Linked DNA regions of Notamacropus eugenii. The protein of the gene in region 1 interacts with the protein of each later gene in a biochemical or structural test. Links are inferred from orthologs where the notes say so. Each region holds a gene or a part of one and is shown on either strand. Other genes may lie near its edges.

What was found. The genes of interacting proteins can lie anywhere in the genome.
Region 2: the proteins of HSP90AA1 (region 1) and TERT form a complex in vitro, tested with the Homo sapiens proteins (2 studies listed by BioGRID). The link is inferred for Notamacropus eugenii from reciprocal best matches to the Homo sapiens genes HSP90AA1 and TERT.

What each region holds. Positions count from the first base shown.
Region 1 is NC_092872.1:351,894,467-351,902,092, reverse strand, and holds the start of HSP90AA1 (heat shock protein HSP 90-alpha), read right to left. Parts: upstream 3,055-7,626; 5' UTR 2,545-3,054; intron 1,392-2,544; coding exon 1,230-1,391; intron 1,133-1,229; coding exon 766-1,132; intron 104-765; coding exon 1-103. UniProt on the Homo sapiens protein: Molecular chaperone that promotes the maturation, structural maintenance and proper regulation of specific target proteins involved for instance in cell cycle control and signal transduction.
Region 2 is NC_092875.1:345,754,070-345,760,977, reverse strand, and holds the start of TERT (telomerase reverse transcriptase), read left to right. Parts: upstream 1-3,867; 5' UTR 3,868-4,091; coding exon 4,092-4,385; intron 4,386-6,516; coding exon 6,517-6,908. UniProt on the Homo sapiens protein: Telomerase is a ribonucleoprotein enzyme essential for the replication of chromosome termini in most eukaryotes. Active in progenitor and cancer cells. Inactive, or very low activity, in normal somatic cells.

The DNA of each region.
Region 1 (7,626 bases):
GAATGCTTCTTCACAATTTCCTTTATTCTTCGTTCCTCCAAGTACTCAGTTTGGTCCTCTTTCAAATGCAAAATTACCTTTGTTCCACGACCCATAGGTTCACCTAGAAGAGGAAAGGGAAAAAGTATATGTGGGAGACTCCTCTGATTTGTAATTTCATCTGAAATCTCTAACCTCAAACATAAATGGGAACTAAGAAACCAATTTAATAGAGAATACTAATGATTTTTTGAAAATCCTTTCCATACCTCTGAAACAATACCTCATAGTTCTATTCAACCAAGAAATTCATTCAACGTGATGCTCAGAATGCTTATTTATTGTAATTTTATCTTTGAAGATTAACTACAAATTTTCTAACAAATGTTTCCTTCTCATTTTATGTTTAAAATGACAAGCAGTAGTGCTGAACTTACAATAAAGAACTATACAGATCAAGGTAGTTCTTAAAGAATAATTATACTAATTTTGTTGAGCCTATATCCTATTCTTTCATGTTATAAAACTACCCTGGGTTTTATTTCTCAGGCTACCATTCATAGGAACTTGTGTATCTAGAACCAGAAGCAAATTCAAAAGCTACCTAGCTCAACCAAGGCCCTCATTTCACAGCTGAGAATAATGTGTAGTTACTGTGCCCCTGGTCAGTTTCAAACGGGGCTTTCCACTCCCTCCCTCTTCCACTGTACCAAAATACTTTCCCTCTCCCTCTCTGCATAGAAAATGCTTTAATTGTACAAAAGCGAGGTCTCACTATGCACATACCTACATCAGTCCTAACGGTGAACGACCCTCCTGCTGAAGACTCCCAGGCATACTGTTCATCATCGTTATGTTTGGTGATGACCGTCACCTTCTCAGCCACCAGATAGGCAGAATAAAAACCAACACCAAACTGACCAATCATGGAGATATCTGCACCAGCCTGTAATGCTTCCATAAAAGCTTTGGTTCCGGACTTTGCTATTGTACCAAGATTGTTGATTAAATCAGCTTTGGTCATTCCAATACCAGTATCTACAATGGTTAGGGTGCGATCATCTTTGTTTGGAATGATGCTGATGTTCAGCTCTTTCCCAGAGTCTAGTTTACTTGGATCTGTCAGACTCTCATACCTGATTTTGTCCAGGGCCTACACCAAGAAAAACACGTTTAAAAATTTTAATCATGAATTAAAACAGCTATACTGGAATTAAATTCAATTTCAGTAACACAAAGAAAAAACTTACATCAGATGAATTTGAAATCAGCTCTCTCAGAAAGATCTCTTTATTAGAGTAGAATGTATTAATGATTAAAGACATCAACTGAGCAATTTCTGCCTGAAAGGCAAAAGTCTCCACTTCCTCCTCCTCCATGGGTTGGTCCTGGGTCTGCGTTTCCTCAGGCATCTATGGAACATTGTTATCAGTTAGTCAAGCAATATCAATTAAAGATTTTTAAAATTTCAACCCGTTTTTACGTGAGGGTTCCTAACAGATTTAATGGATCTAAAATTAGGGCTACGGTAGAAAAAAAATGAGACTAATTCACTTGGAATCACGTCATTATGTGAGTTAATTCATGCTTCAAGGGGAACACTTTAAAAACCGGGGCCACCGACTGATTCAATTGCTTCTCATCCTTTAATTATTGAAGAGACTACCACCACCTCCGTAGCCGGATTAACGCCACCAGGCTCAGCTCATTAAGAGGATAAGCCGTCCTCTACAAAGGCAGAGGACTGAGGCACAAAGCTGAACTCTGAAACGATGCTCAAAAATTCACTCCTATTCAATCCCAACACGAGTAACGTTTAAAGCATTGGTAATTAGACGCTGGGGATAGCGAGGAAAAGGTAAAAACTAAGTTTCCCATTTCACAGAGCTTACAACATACGGGGCTTAGAATCGAAAAAGAAAACGTTTAAAAAAAAATCGACGAAAGAGGCCCACAGCACGCCTCCTACGAAGCTCTTCTTAGCCTCGCCAAGCCCCTCTCCTTACGCATCGCCCAAGGAGATCGGTGGGCAAAACGGGCAGTGCACAAAGTCTCAAATCCCCCACTCGCTTACGAAGATTTGAGTTTGGGGGTACCCCCAGCCCCCCCCACCCTCGGGCTCCGACGCAGGTGCCCCGCCCGCCGGGCAGAGCAGCCCCGGGGGCAGGCGGGGGCGCCGGCGCGCCACGGGCTCCTCACCCCCCCACGCCAGGCACCCTCCTCGGAATGGGGGGGGCCGAACCCCCATCATTATTTCCCCTCTCCCAGTCCCGGGTTTTTTAGGGGCGCTCGCCTCGTCCACTTCTCGGGAAGGGTGGGTAAAAGCGGCGGGGGAACGAAAATTGGGGGGGCGCCTCAAGACCTGGCCCCAGGGCCCTTCGGGCAAGGAGGGAGCCAGGGAGGAGCCTCCCCCCCACCCTCGGGGGCGCCGAAGCCGGGGCAGCTTCCCGCCTCCTCCCGGTCCCCCGAGCCGCGGCTGCGGGAAGGGCAGGTGAGCCCACGCCCAGGTCCACGCTGCGGGAGCCGCGGCCCGCCGGGGTGGGGGGGGGGGGGGGGTAACCTTACCTTGGCAGAGAGAGCAGGAGCCCCAAGGCTTCAGCCGGCAGCGAGACGGGAGAGCAGCAAACTGGCGCGCGGCCGCCCCCGCCCGCCCCTTATATAGAGTCGGGCACTCCCCGCCTCAGCAGCGCCTTTTCCAGAAGCCTCCGGAACCTTCCGGAAGAGGGTTCTCGAGCCCTCCCCAACCGCCGCGGCCCTCGCGCGTGCGCACAGGCTCGCGGCCCCCGCCCCGCGGCGAGGCTCCTCCTCCCGCCCCCGCCCAGGCCCTGCTTTCTTTCTCTCTGCTCCTCTCTCTCTACCCCTCCCGCTTCCTTTCCCTCTTCGCTCTCCTCCCCCACTGCGGGCTACGGAGGAGGCGGTGGAGAAGGGAAGCTGGGCTGGGGAGGGGGGTGCGGGTTTAGCGTGCTTCCATCTCCCCTCTCCTCCCCCCCCACTCCTCTGCGGCCCACTCACCCAACCCCCAACCGATTGCGCGCGGACACAGCTGCCAAGCGCGGGGGGCGGGGGGAGGGGGCCAGGGGCGCGTGCGCACAACGGCCTGCCCGGGCTGCTGCTGCCTGCGTCGGGGCCCGCGCCGGGCTCCTGCGCTGTTGCCATGGCCTCCCCGCTAATCGTCTTGCCTTCTTCGCCACCGACCGCCCCCACCCCGCCGTCGGAGCAGTCTTGCTCTTACGCAGCAAGATTTGTCCCGCTTCTGCTCACGCGTCTTTCTTTCATAGGGTTAGACCTGCGAGTGTTCCTCCCCTCCCCCCTTTTTACAGACGAGGAAACTGAGGCCCAGAAAAGGCACGCACTCGCCCCAAGCCCTCAGTCTGGGTGCTCCGCGGCATCGTCTTCTAACTACCTGACTAGGATCCCTCGGTCAGCTTCGGCCCTGCTCCTCCCCCTCCTCCCCCTCCTCCCCCTCCTCCCCCTCCTCCTTCTCCTCCTCCTCCTGCCCCCGGCCTTGTAAACACGGGCGTTGCACCAGGCCGAGTCTCCACACTCCGGGAGATCTGACCCACTCCCCCGTCTCCAGTTACCGCCTCCGTGCAGCGGCCCTCCCCAGCGGCCCCCAGACTCCACTGCCAGCGGATGAATGTTTCCACTTGGATGCCCAGCTGGCATCTAAGACAACACGTCTAAAAAATTTAATACAAAATCCTTCATTTTTAAAAAATATTATTTATTTTGACATTCTTTTGAGCTCCAGATTCTCTCCCTCCTCTACCCCCTGAATAAGCAAACAATATTGGTGAGAAATCACGCAAACCATTTCTGCATTAGCCATGCCCCACTAAAATAAGGGGAGAGGAGGGTGCTTCAGTTGGCACGGCGTCCGTCCGTTCTCTCCGGAGACGGGTGGCATGTTCTCACCGGGAGTCCTTCGGCATGGCCTCGGGGGTTGGATCGATGGGATCAGAACATCGCTGCCACGGTGCCATCCTCCCCCAGTGCTCACTCATCCCCCTCCTCATTTCCCGCAGCCCCGCAGTGCTCCATCACAATCCGGTGCCACCACTTGTTCAGCCTTTCCTGCCTGACGACCCCCCCCAAAAAGAGCTGCTGTGCAGACAGGGCTTTTTCCCTTCTCTGTGATCTTTTTGGGATACAGACCTAGCACCGGATCAGAGGATGCCCAGTTTTGTAGCTCCCTGGGCACAGCTCCAGATGGTTGGACCAGTTCAGCACTCCACCAGCAGCTCCTTCATGTGCCTATTTTCCCTCATCTCCCACATCACTTGTCCTTTCCGAGAGATAGGGAGTGCTACCCCAGAGTTGTTCTATTTCGCATTTCCCTGATCAATAGCGGTTCAGAACATTTTTTATAAGACTATAGATAGCTTTGATTTCTTCTTATGAAAATTGATCAATTGGGGGATGGCTCTTATTTTATACATTTGATTCCCTTCTCTATATGTCTGGGAAATGAGAGCTTTATCAAAGAAACTTGCTGTCATTTTTTTACATCCTTGTTTATAGTACCTTTTAGGAAAATGGAGTTTCCCAGATTTCTTCTCTTAATTAGGTCTATTTGGCTTTTGCTTTGAGATCATGATTGCTACCCCACCTCATTTATTTCGGCTAAAGCATAAGAGATTCCCTTCCAGCCCTTTATTTTAACTTTGTGTTGCCTTTACATTTCAAATCTCTCATAAACCGGACAAATGGTTGGATTCTGTTTTCTGATCCATTATGGGTTAGCTCATCCCATTCCCATTCACAGTTACAAGTGCTATGTATCTCTTCCATCGTGTTTTCTTCCATTTATCCTTATCTTTCTATCTTGTCCCTCCTCAAAAGTCTGTTTTGCCTCCCTTTTATCATCTCCCTCTCCTATATCTTTTATCCCCTTTTCCTCTTATTTCTCTATTGAATAAGTTACATTTATATACAACTGTATATATATTCTTCCTTCTTTGAACCAACTCTGACAAGAGAGGTTCAGCCATTGCACCCCCCTTCTCTCTCCCCTATAAAAGCTCTTACTTTTGCCTGTTTTATGTGAGAAATTTTTCTCTATTCTACTTTTCTCCTCCCCCTTCTCTCAGTACATCCCTCTTTCTCACCCCTCCTTTTTTTTTAAAAATTATCCTAGCATAAGACTCACAGCCGTGCCGTCTGTTCCAGCCTCTTTCCTCCCTGATATTCCCATACTTCCACATTAGGCTGTGGCCCAACCAGCATAGTTGCTGACATTATTTTCCACTGTCTCCTTCGCTACAGTCTCTAGGGAGGAGGTAACCTTTCTGCCTCCAAAGGCTAATTCCATACATGTACCCCTGATTCAGGAGAATGCTGAAGCCACTTGTTAAATTTTCAGTGAGGCAGTTAAACCTTAGAAATCAGCAAACATTGCACTCAGGCCTTGGCTTATTGTTTTGTTGATTATTTAGACTTAAGAAAGTGATGGAGAAAATTATAAAAAAGCAGATTAAAATTACAGCTTGTATTTTCAGAAAGCTTGGTTGTTAAACATTTGCTAGCACATCAGTAACTCCCTATCACTTTCAGGATGAAATATAAAATCCTGTCTGGCATTGAAAATACTTCATAATGTCCCCTGACCTTTCCAACCTCCTTACCTCTTACCCTTCCACCCCTTCTTCTCCTCCACTATGTACTCTGTAACACTGGCCTTCTTACTGTTCCTTGAACAAAACGTTCTATCCCTGGACTCTGGCCATTTTCACTGACTGTCCTCCTTGCCTGGAATGTCCTTCCTTCCTCACATCTGCCTCTTGTCTCCCTTGGCTTCCTTTAAGTCTCAGCTGAAATCCCAAAAGGATTCTATAGGCATCTTTCCCACTCCCTCTTAATTCTTTCCTCTCTTTAGTGTTGTTTTTAATTGTTCAGGTATGTCTAACTCTTCATGATCCCATGGACCCTACTTTCTGTGGGGTTTTCTTGGTAAAGATATTGGTGTGGTTTGTCTTTTCCTTGAGTGACTAGCCCTGGGTCACACAGCTAGTGATGCCTAAAGCCAAATTTGAAATCAGGTCTTCTGGACCCCAGACCCCTGCATTTCATCCACTGAGCCATCTAGCTGCTAGTTGATTATTCCTATTAATCCAGTATATACCTTGTTTGTAAGTAATTGTTTGTCTCTCCCATTAGACAAACTCATGTACCTCTAGGGTGGGATCGTCTTTTGCTTTTATGAATTTGCCTGTCTGAGTTTTCATGATTCTAGTCTTACTAGCTACATCTACCAGTCAGACTACTTCTCTTTGGTTGGATCTTCATTCAGGTCACACCCACTGACTATGGGTTTTCCCCCAGGGTCTGTCTTGGCCTCCTTTCTCTTTATAATCTCTCACTAGGTGATCTCTTCAGCTCTCATTAGTTCAATTACCATCCTTTTGCAAATGATTTCTAGATCTGTTTATCTGGCCCTAGTCTCTCCAGTCCCACATCCCCAACTGCTCATTGGACATTTTGAACTGGATGTCCCATAGGCATCTTAAGTTCAGTATATCCTAAGCAGAACTTATTATCACCCTATCTGCACCTTTCTTCTGAATTTATTGTATTTTTTAAGAGTCACCTAGGTTTGAAAACTCATTGCCATCTTTTTCCTACTCCACACATTCAACAAGTTGCCAAATTTTGTCATTTCATTCTCTACAATATCTTTCATTCCTTTTCTCCATTTGCATAACCACTACACTACTTTAGGACCTTTCAATTGTACCACTGCAGTATTAATTTAACTGATCTTCCTGCCTTGTCTCGCCCTTCAATCCATCCTCCCCACTACCCCCAAAATGATTTTCGCAAAGCAGAGATCAGATCAGATCACTTTTCTGTCCTAAACAAGCACTAGCAGCTCCCAGTTATCTCTAGAATAAAATATAAAGCCCTCTGTTTAGAATTTAAAGTTCTTTACAACTTGGCCCTTTCCAGTTTTATTACATTCCAGTCTGCTTCATGTTCTGTATTTTACCACATCATTGTTGCAGATTTTATGCCAAATATTTTTGCAAAAAAAGTGGGGTGTGACCATTATGTGAAGCTTTAAAAAATTTGTGCTGGTATTACTTAAAAATCATTTATTATTAAACTGTTTTTGGTGCAAGATTAAACCCATAATCAGAAAGAAATGCTTCACACATTAATATATCGTTGGCAGATGAACTATACAGTTTAGCTATCATGTGACTTACTCATGGCAGTTTTGCCTGACCAACCACTCCCCTTTCACGTAGGGCTCTTCATTGGGTTGAGTGACTATACCCTTAGTGCTACAGTGTTCTAAACAAACAGCAAAAATAGACTTTCTGAAATATACTGACAATGCACGTGCACTGAGAATTCTAGGCTTGTGGCTCCCAATGTGCAAGAGATAAATAAATATCCATATGCCACAGGTGAATACATTTCTGCTCTGTTTACCTTTTAAGCATCTTGACAAACAGAATTATACCATGTGATGATTACATGATGAAAGCTTATAAACCAGTTTTTGGACTGAAAACAAACGAAAAACCAACGATTATGGGGTAAAATAAGGTATTCTACTGTTTAGCCAAACTGGCCAACTTTCTTTTCCTTGGAAAAGAAAACTCTGTCTACTGTCACCATGCCTTTGTATTAACTATTCTCCAT
Region 2 (6,908 bases), on another chromosome or scaffold:
GAGTCACTGCTAGGAAGGATGCTGGCTCCTGGGTAGCATGAGTGATTTTGTGATTGTGAGTTTGTTTGAGAGCCTGCTTGTGATGAGTATAATGGACCTGGTTTGTGGGAAGCCTAGCAGGGGGATGGTTTGGGGATGGTGTTGTCCTCTACATTGTTATTGTGTATAAATTTTCATTGCTGTGATGGATTTGGGTCTGAATAAATGTTTTGTTTCTGCTTTCCACCTAGATAGTCTGTGGTATTTTGCTATTCTGAATTGCACTATGATATTCATGGCTGCCCTGGGTGCTGTGAATATTACATTTGCACTACAAATGGTCATGGGGATGGGATAATGAAATATCTGACCTCAATTTGGAGGCAAAAAGGCAGAGGAGTCAGAGGAACAAATGGACATCCCAGGGTGGGAGGATTTTTGTTCTGCCCCAGAAAGAGAATGTGCTAAGGGCACAGGACTTTGTGAAAACTGGGAACTGAGGCTACAGAAAGGAGAACCCAGAGAGTTGGAAATATATTTCCAGGGAATAACAAAGGCACCAGGGAAAGAAATGGCAGGGTTATGTAGGAGAGGCAGGGCTTTGCTAAGCTCTGGATGAAGGACTCCAGAAGATGGCTGGAACCTTATGTGCTAGGGTGTAGTGAGGGCTAGGGTGTAGTGAGGGCCAGGGAGACTCAGAAAAGAAAAAACCATTTTTGCCTCGAATTGTATGTATTAGAGACACTCTTGACACTAAGGTATCAAGTAAAATGTATTGCTGCAGAGTTCAGAGGAATTGATCATTTTGGCCAAAGTGGGCCCCCACCCTCTTTTCAGGAGGAGAGAGCACTGAATACAGAAGTGAAATGAACTATATACCATTAGTTCAAGACAAATACTCCCACCAGGAGATGGATGGGTCCATCCTCCCTTAGGTCAACCTCTTCTCTGCATGTCCATTATGTAACCCCCTTTAGTATGATTCCCCCTCCCAAACATGCTCTAACATGGGACCCATGATCAGAAAATGGAGGGATAATTTTATGCAGGGTGTGTCTGCTTAAGCATATGCATGAAGTTCATTAAGCAAATGCAGTAAAGAAAAGCCTTCTCTAGGTAACTCTAGGTCATTTTTCTTGGCTAGTTCCAGCTAGCTGTAGATTTGGTTCCTTTATCAAAAACTTTGTAATTTTCTGAAGGCCACTGTCCGATGGTCTTCTTATTATCTTATTCTCAATGACTTCATCAATTAACAATAACTTGTTGTGGAAACTTAACTTTCGCTGTCTCTCACAGTATGCAAATGCTGTGAGATGGGCTGCTGGAGGAGAAGGCTCAGATGGAAAGGGAATTGGCTGGAGAGAATTTTTGTCCAGCAGTGTTCGGGCTGCCCTTGGGAGAGGAAGCTGGAGAGTTTCCAGTGGTAGAAGAGAAGGTTGTTGTTGGTTTGTCTCACAGGAGGCGAAAAGTTAACAATAGGAAAGTGAAGGCAGCCCTTGTGCAGGCTGGATTTGATTCGGGCTTAAACACAGGCCAGGAGGATGTGTGGAAGGAGAATGAAACAAGTGAGGTGGCTGAAGTTGGGCCAGTATTAAGAAGGAAGCAGGGGAATCAGGGTTCCTCCACAATTACCTCCCCAAAGGTAGGTAGGAGGTAACTAAGGATTTTTCTCAGCAGGACGTCACAGATGTTTTGAGTTGGTTCACCCAAAAGATGAGAGAATCATTGGTACTTTGGATGGTGAGAATTAGTGAAAAAGATAGGTTTTCTGGAGACAGAGGAATGAATAGCCAGTGGATTCAAGGTCAGAGAGGATTGATAAGGAAAGAGTTTTGTTGCTCTGTTGAGAGCAGGAGTAGATTTTGGAAGAACAGATGGCATTCCAACTAATGAACTATATAAAATGTATCGTAGATAGAAGATTGGTTTTAGACTGAGCAAGGAGGTAGGAGCTGCCCCTGCAGATCATTCTGAAACATTGTATCCAGGTTCATCACACCTGTAGGGAGAATGGGGAGTTGGCCGGGTCCCAGCTCAGATTGAAGAGGGTGTACCTCTAGCCAGAATGATGACCCCGGGAATGCAAATTGGAAAACAGTAAGCAATAGTGAATGAGGCTATGATAATGGGTTCATGGACTCTAGTTTGAGCATAAGCACCCCCTTCATTCCCTCTCAGCAAATGCGGCCCAAAATCTTGGGGTAAGGGGCAAAAGTCTCTTCTTTCATAGCTACTTCCTGCTGAGATTGGCCATAAAGCTATCCCTGCCCCAAGCAGTCTCATTCTAGGGGCTGGCTAGAGACAGTAGGATAGGTGAATTTGTGCTTCATATACCTGTCAGAAGAGCTGAGCTCAGGATGGAGCTCCAAAGCAGAGGGGATTAACCACTCAAGACACAGTCTTTAGAAATCTGGTTACAAGGGTGCTGTGCCAGGGATGGTGTAGCAGAGTAGATGGTAACATAACCAAAATCAATAATGGCATTCAAGTGATGTGGAAATTATCTTGGGAATTCATAACCAACTGTAGGCTGGGCTAGAACACTTCTGACGTACTTTCCATATCAAATGTCTAGAATTCTTATTCAAATTTTCCCCTAGGAAAACATGGAGAATTTCAGAATACTTATTTCATTTTGAAAGTTCAAGAAATGCATCATATCTTGGTATTCATATCATTTCATATGCATACATTGTTTCTCCCCAGTGCATGGTATATTCCCTCAACAAAAGGGATAAATAAGTTTTTCAATTTTTTAGGTACTTAGTATAGTGTTCTGCTACCAGTTAGTGCTCAATAAATGTTTAAATTCATTCCATTAGTTATTTCATTATAAACAAAGCTTCTTATCCTGGAAAGAGAGACTAGTTTTCCACACTGACCACATAAGCTGGGCTGGTGGAATAGATAGGAGCAAAGAGAATGGGTGTGTCTATCTGGGTCTGAACAGTTGTTTGTCCTTAGAAGAAGACCAATGACATCATGGGGTGCTGTTTTGACTCCCGGTGTGAACTGAATTTAAGTGAGACAGGTTGCAAAGACAACAGCCTCGCTGTCTCTTCCAGTCATCAAAGTCCAGTGGCAAGAGGAAAGTTAAGATGACTGGAGATGGATGCAGTGGATAATCTTGATTCTTTGATACTTGAGCAATCTAAGCACCTGGTTCAGCTATCTTCATGGCCCTTGGACCAAATTGTTCTCATGGGCCCCTTCAGCCCTGGGAAGTCTTCATGTGCATGGGGTAGACACCCGCCCCTCCCAACTCACCAACCAGCTTGAGGCCTGTCACTTATCCTCAACTTGGTTTAGCCCATCTGCTGATGTGGCTGCTGAGCATGCTACAGCTTCTTGGAGATGCAGGTGAGAGTTGGTGAAGGTGGACATCAAACGTGAAGGAGCAGCCCAGAAAAGTCATCCGTCAGCCCTCACACCGAGGTGCTGGTCCTTCCTGAGCGCAGGTTTTACAAAGATAGTAAAGAATCAAGATAGAGGGAATATCAGCTGTAACAGGCAACATTTACGCCTGTTACAAAGTCACAGTAGGAAAGAGAATGTTGCAGAGGGAACTTTTTTCAGGTTTGGGATGGGCTAGGTGGAGCTTGGTGGCTCCTTTGAAGATTGAGATTCTTCGATTTTATCCCAGTGCTTAGCACAAAATGAGTGGCACATAGTAGGTGCTTAATAGATAGGTACTTAGTAGGTACTTAAGGACTCCCCCCTCCCCCAACATTGAATTAACAATGTTGAATTATCAAATATGGCTTCTCCCAGAAAGTGTAAATGAAAATTAACAATTGGGCTCCAGAATCCTTCCTGACACCTTCTAGTCTTTTCCCAGGCGCTGTTGTCCCTTTAAGAGCCCAGACGCCCCAAAGCCCCCTCCCCTTTTCCTCTTCCGCCTGCCTCTTCTCCCCGCCCCGCCCCGCTGCGGGCTGCAGCCCAGCTCGGGCTCCCCCGGGTTACCCTCCTCGCCCGGCCTCGCCGCTCCCAGCCGCCCCTTGGTCTGCCTCCGCGGCGGGCTCCTAGCCTGCTCTCTGGGTGGCAGCTGCAGCGCAGGCAGGTGCAGCAGCGGGAGGAGCGGCGGCGCCCACCCTCCCGGGCCCTCGCGCACCATGGCTTCCCGGCCCCCGGCCCCGCGCTCCTTGCTGGCCTCGGCGGCCTTCCGCCCGGTGCGCGAGGTGCTGCGGGACAGCTACCGGGATGTGCTGGGGCTGGCGGAGTTCGTGCAGCGCCTCGAGGACGAGGCGCGGACCGCGCGGGCTCCGGGGGACCGGCCGGACCAGCAGGTAGCCGTGCGGCTCCTGCGCAGCGGGGATCCCGAGGTCTTCCAGGTTTTTGTGTCCGGCTGTGTGGTGTGTGTGCCGTGGGGTGCCCGGCCCCTCCCCAGGCCTCTCACCTTCCGGCAGGTAATGCATGCATCCTTGCCAGGAGCCCTGGGGTGGGAGTATCGGACCGAAACTCGGGGCTTCCTCAGTGGCTGGCGGTTGGCGGGGGGCCTGCTCCTTTCTACCCACTCGACCAAGAGAGTATTTGGATTAAATACTCCAATTGTTTCAGGGAAGCAAGTCATTTAACACCTTGGGCTGCTCGGACTCTACCTTTCATTTCTCCATAGGTAATTTCCTGTTCCACTCCCCACTGAAGCATCTTCAGGCTGTCCTTAAGCTCCACATACCTTCCCTGCGGAAGTCACCTCTTACTTTCCACCTCTCTCTGTGATGAGATGAGCCCTTCCTGCCAAAGCCAGCCGTTCTACCTGTGCTCTTAGATTCCATTCCCCGGGTTTTTCTCTTATAGATTGCACCTTCCACCCCCTCCCCCCCATTCCTTAACCTTCAATCTCTCCCTATCTGTTGATTCCTTCCCTGTTGCTTTCAAATGTGCCCAAGGTTCCCCAATTCTTAAAGAACTCTCTGAACCTTATTATCTCCTCTAGCATTTAATTGCTCTATATCTCCTCTCCCGTTCTCAGCTAGACTCTTGGAAAAATCCTTCTACAGTCTTTTCTCATTCTCTTCTCGACCTTTGTAGTATGGCCTTGGATCCCATCACAGGGACTGAAATTGCTTTCTCTAAAGTTACCAGTGATCTCTTAATGACCAAATCTGGGGGCTTTCTTGACTCATCTTTTTTGACCTGTGTCATTGGACACTGTTGACTATCCTCCCGTCCCCAATTTTTGTAAAAAACACTCTGTCCTGGTTTTCCTCTTAACCTAACCACCATTCCTTCTCAGGATGCTTTGCTGGTTCTTCATCCTGGGCACGCCCCCTGTGTGGGTGTCTTCCAGAGCCATATTATGGGCCCTCTTCTCTCATTGGGTGACTCCATCATCTAGTAAAACGAAATATTCAAGTCCCAGCGTTTCTGTTGAATTCCATCGCTCCTTGCCTATTGGATGTTTCAGATTGGACGTCCCAGAGACATCTCAAGCTCATATCCAAAACAGAACTCATTACCTCTTCCCCAAAACCCACTCCTATTTCTGTTGAGGATACTACTATTCTTCTAGCATGTCAGGTTTATAACCTTAGCACCACACCACATATCCAATCACTTTCTAGGTCCCACCATTTCTACCTTTACAACCTCCTTCCATTTCTATTTACAAAGTTATCACTTCCTCCCTGAACCATTATGATAGCCTTATCTTTTATCTCCCTCCCTCATGTTTCTTTCCCTTTGCATGCGTTTTCCACACAGTCACCACAAAAGTGATTTTTTTATAAGCTCAGATCTGATCTTGGCACTCTCCTATTCAGTAAACTCTACGGGCTCTCTGGTACTTCCACCTTCCATTCTAGAACATGTAAACTCTTTTATGGAGCTTTTTAAGGCCTTTCACAACCTGGCCCCATCCTCATTATGCATTACTCCATTTGCCTGACTTTAGGGTGAAGCTTAACTAGACTTTTCTCTATTGTTTACACAAACATTCCATTTTCCTTCTCTGGGACTTTGAATTGGCCATTATCTTTCATGTCTGGAATGCACTCCTTCCTTACCTTTGTCTTGTACCATCCCTTATTTTTTTCGCAATGTGCCTTGAGCAGCATCCTGTTCAGGAAATCTTTCTGCTTTCTCCCAGCTGCTAATTTGTGAACTCATTCCCAAACTACCTTTTGTTTAATTGCTTTCTATTTATCGATATACTTAAATGTATAGGTTGTCTTACTCCCTGTAGAATACAAGGGAAAGGATTATGTCTCTCCATTAGAATGTGAGACCCTTGAAAGCAGGCTTTATATTTTGCCTTTCTATCCCCAGCATTGGCACATGGTTGGTGCCTTTAAAATGGTTGTTGATTGACTTATATTTTCTTTAATCTACTTTCAAGGGGATATGGTTCTAGTTTCTTCTAGCCTGGTGCCCTGCATATGGAAGAAACTTTAAAATGTTGTTGAATGTAGTTTTGAATTGGCTCTCTGCTTTGAGTAACATTGAGATGAATTTTGGTCCCAGGATCACCTTATGAATATTATTTAGAAAGTTGGAAAAAACTGCCATCAGCAATTTTGAATTTTTTTCTTTCTTTAGCTGTCTTCCCAGAAGGAAGTAGTTGCTAGAATTGTCCAGAGGATTTGTGAAAAGAAAAAAAAGAATATTCTGGCTTTTGGATACACCCTTTTAGAGGAAAATAGAATGCCATTGCCAGTTAAGTTTACCACAAACGTCTACAACTATCACCCTAACACAGTAACAGAAACAATTAGTGTCAGTGCCTTGTGGGAGATACTTTTAAGCAGGATAGGAGATGATGTGATGATGTATATGTTAGAGCACTGTTCCATTTTCATGATGGTACCCCCAACCTGCTCTTACCAGATCTCTGGGCTACCTATCTATGAACTCAATTTAAAAGATTCTGTCTCTCCATCTGGGTTCTTGCGAAAAAAATATCCGAAGGAGGAACCAAATGTCTCACTTGA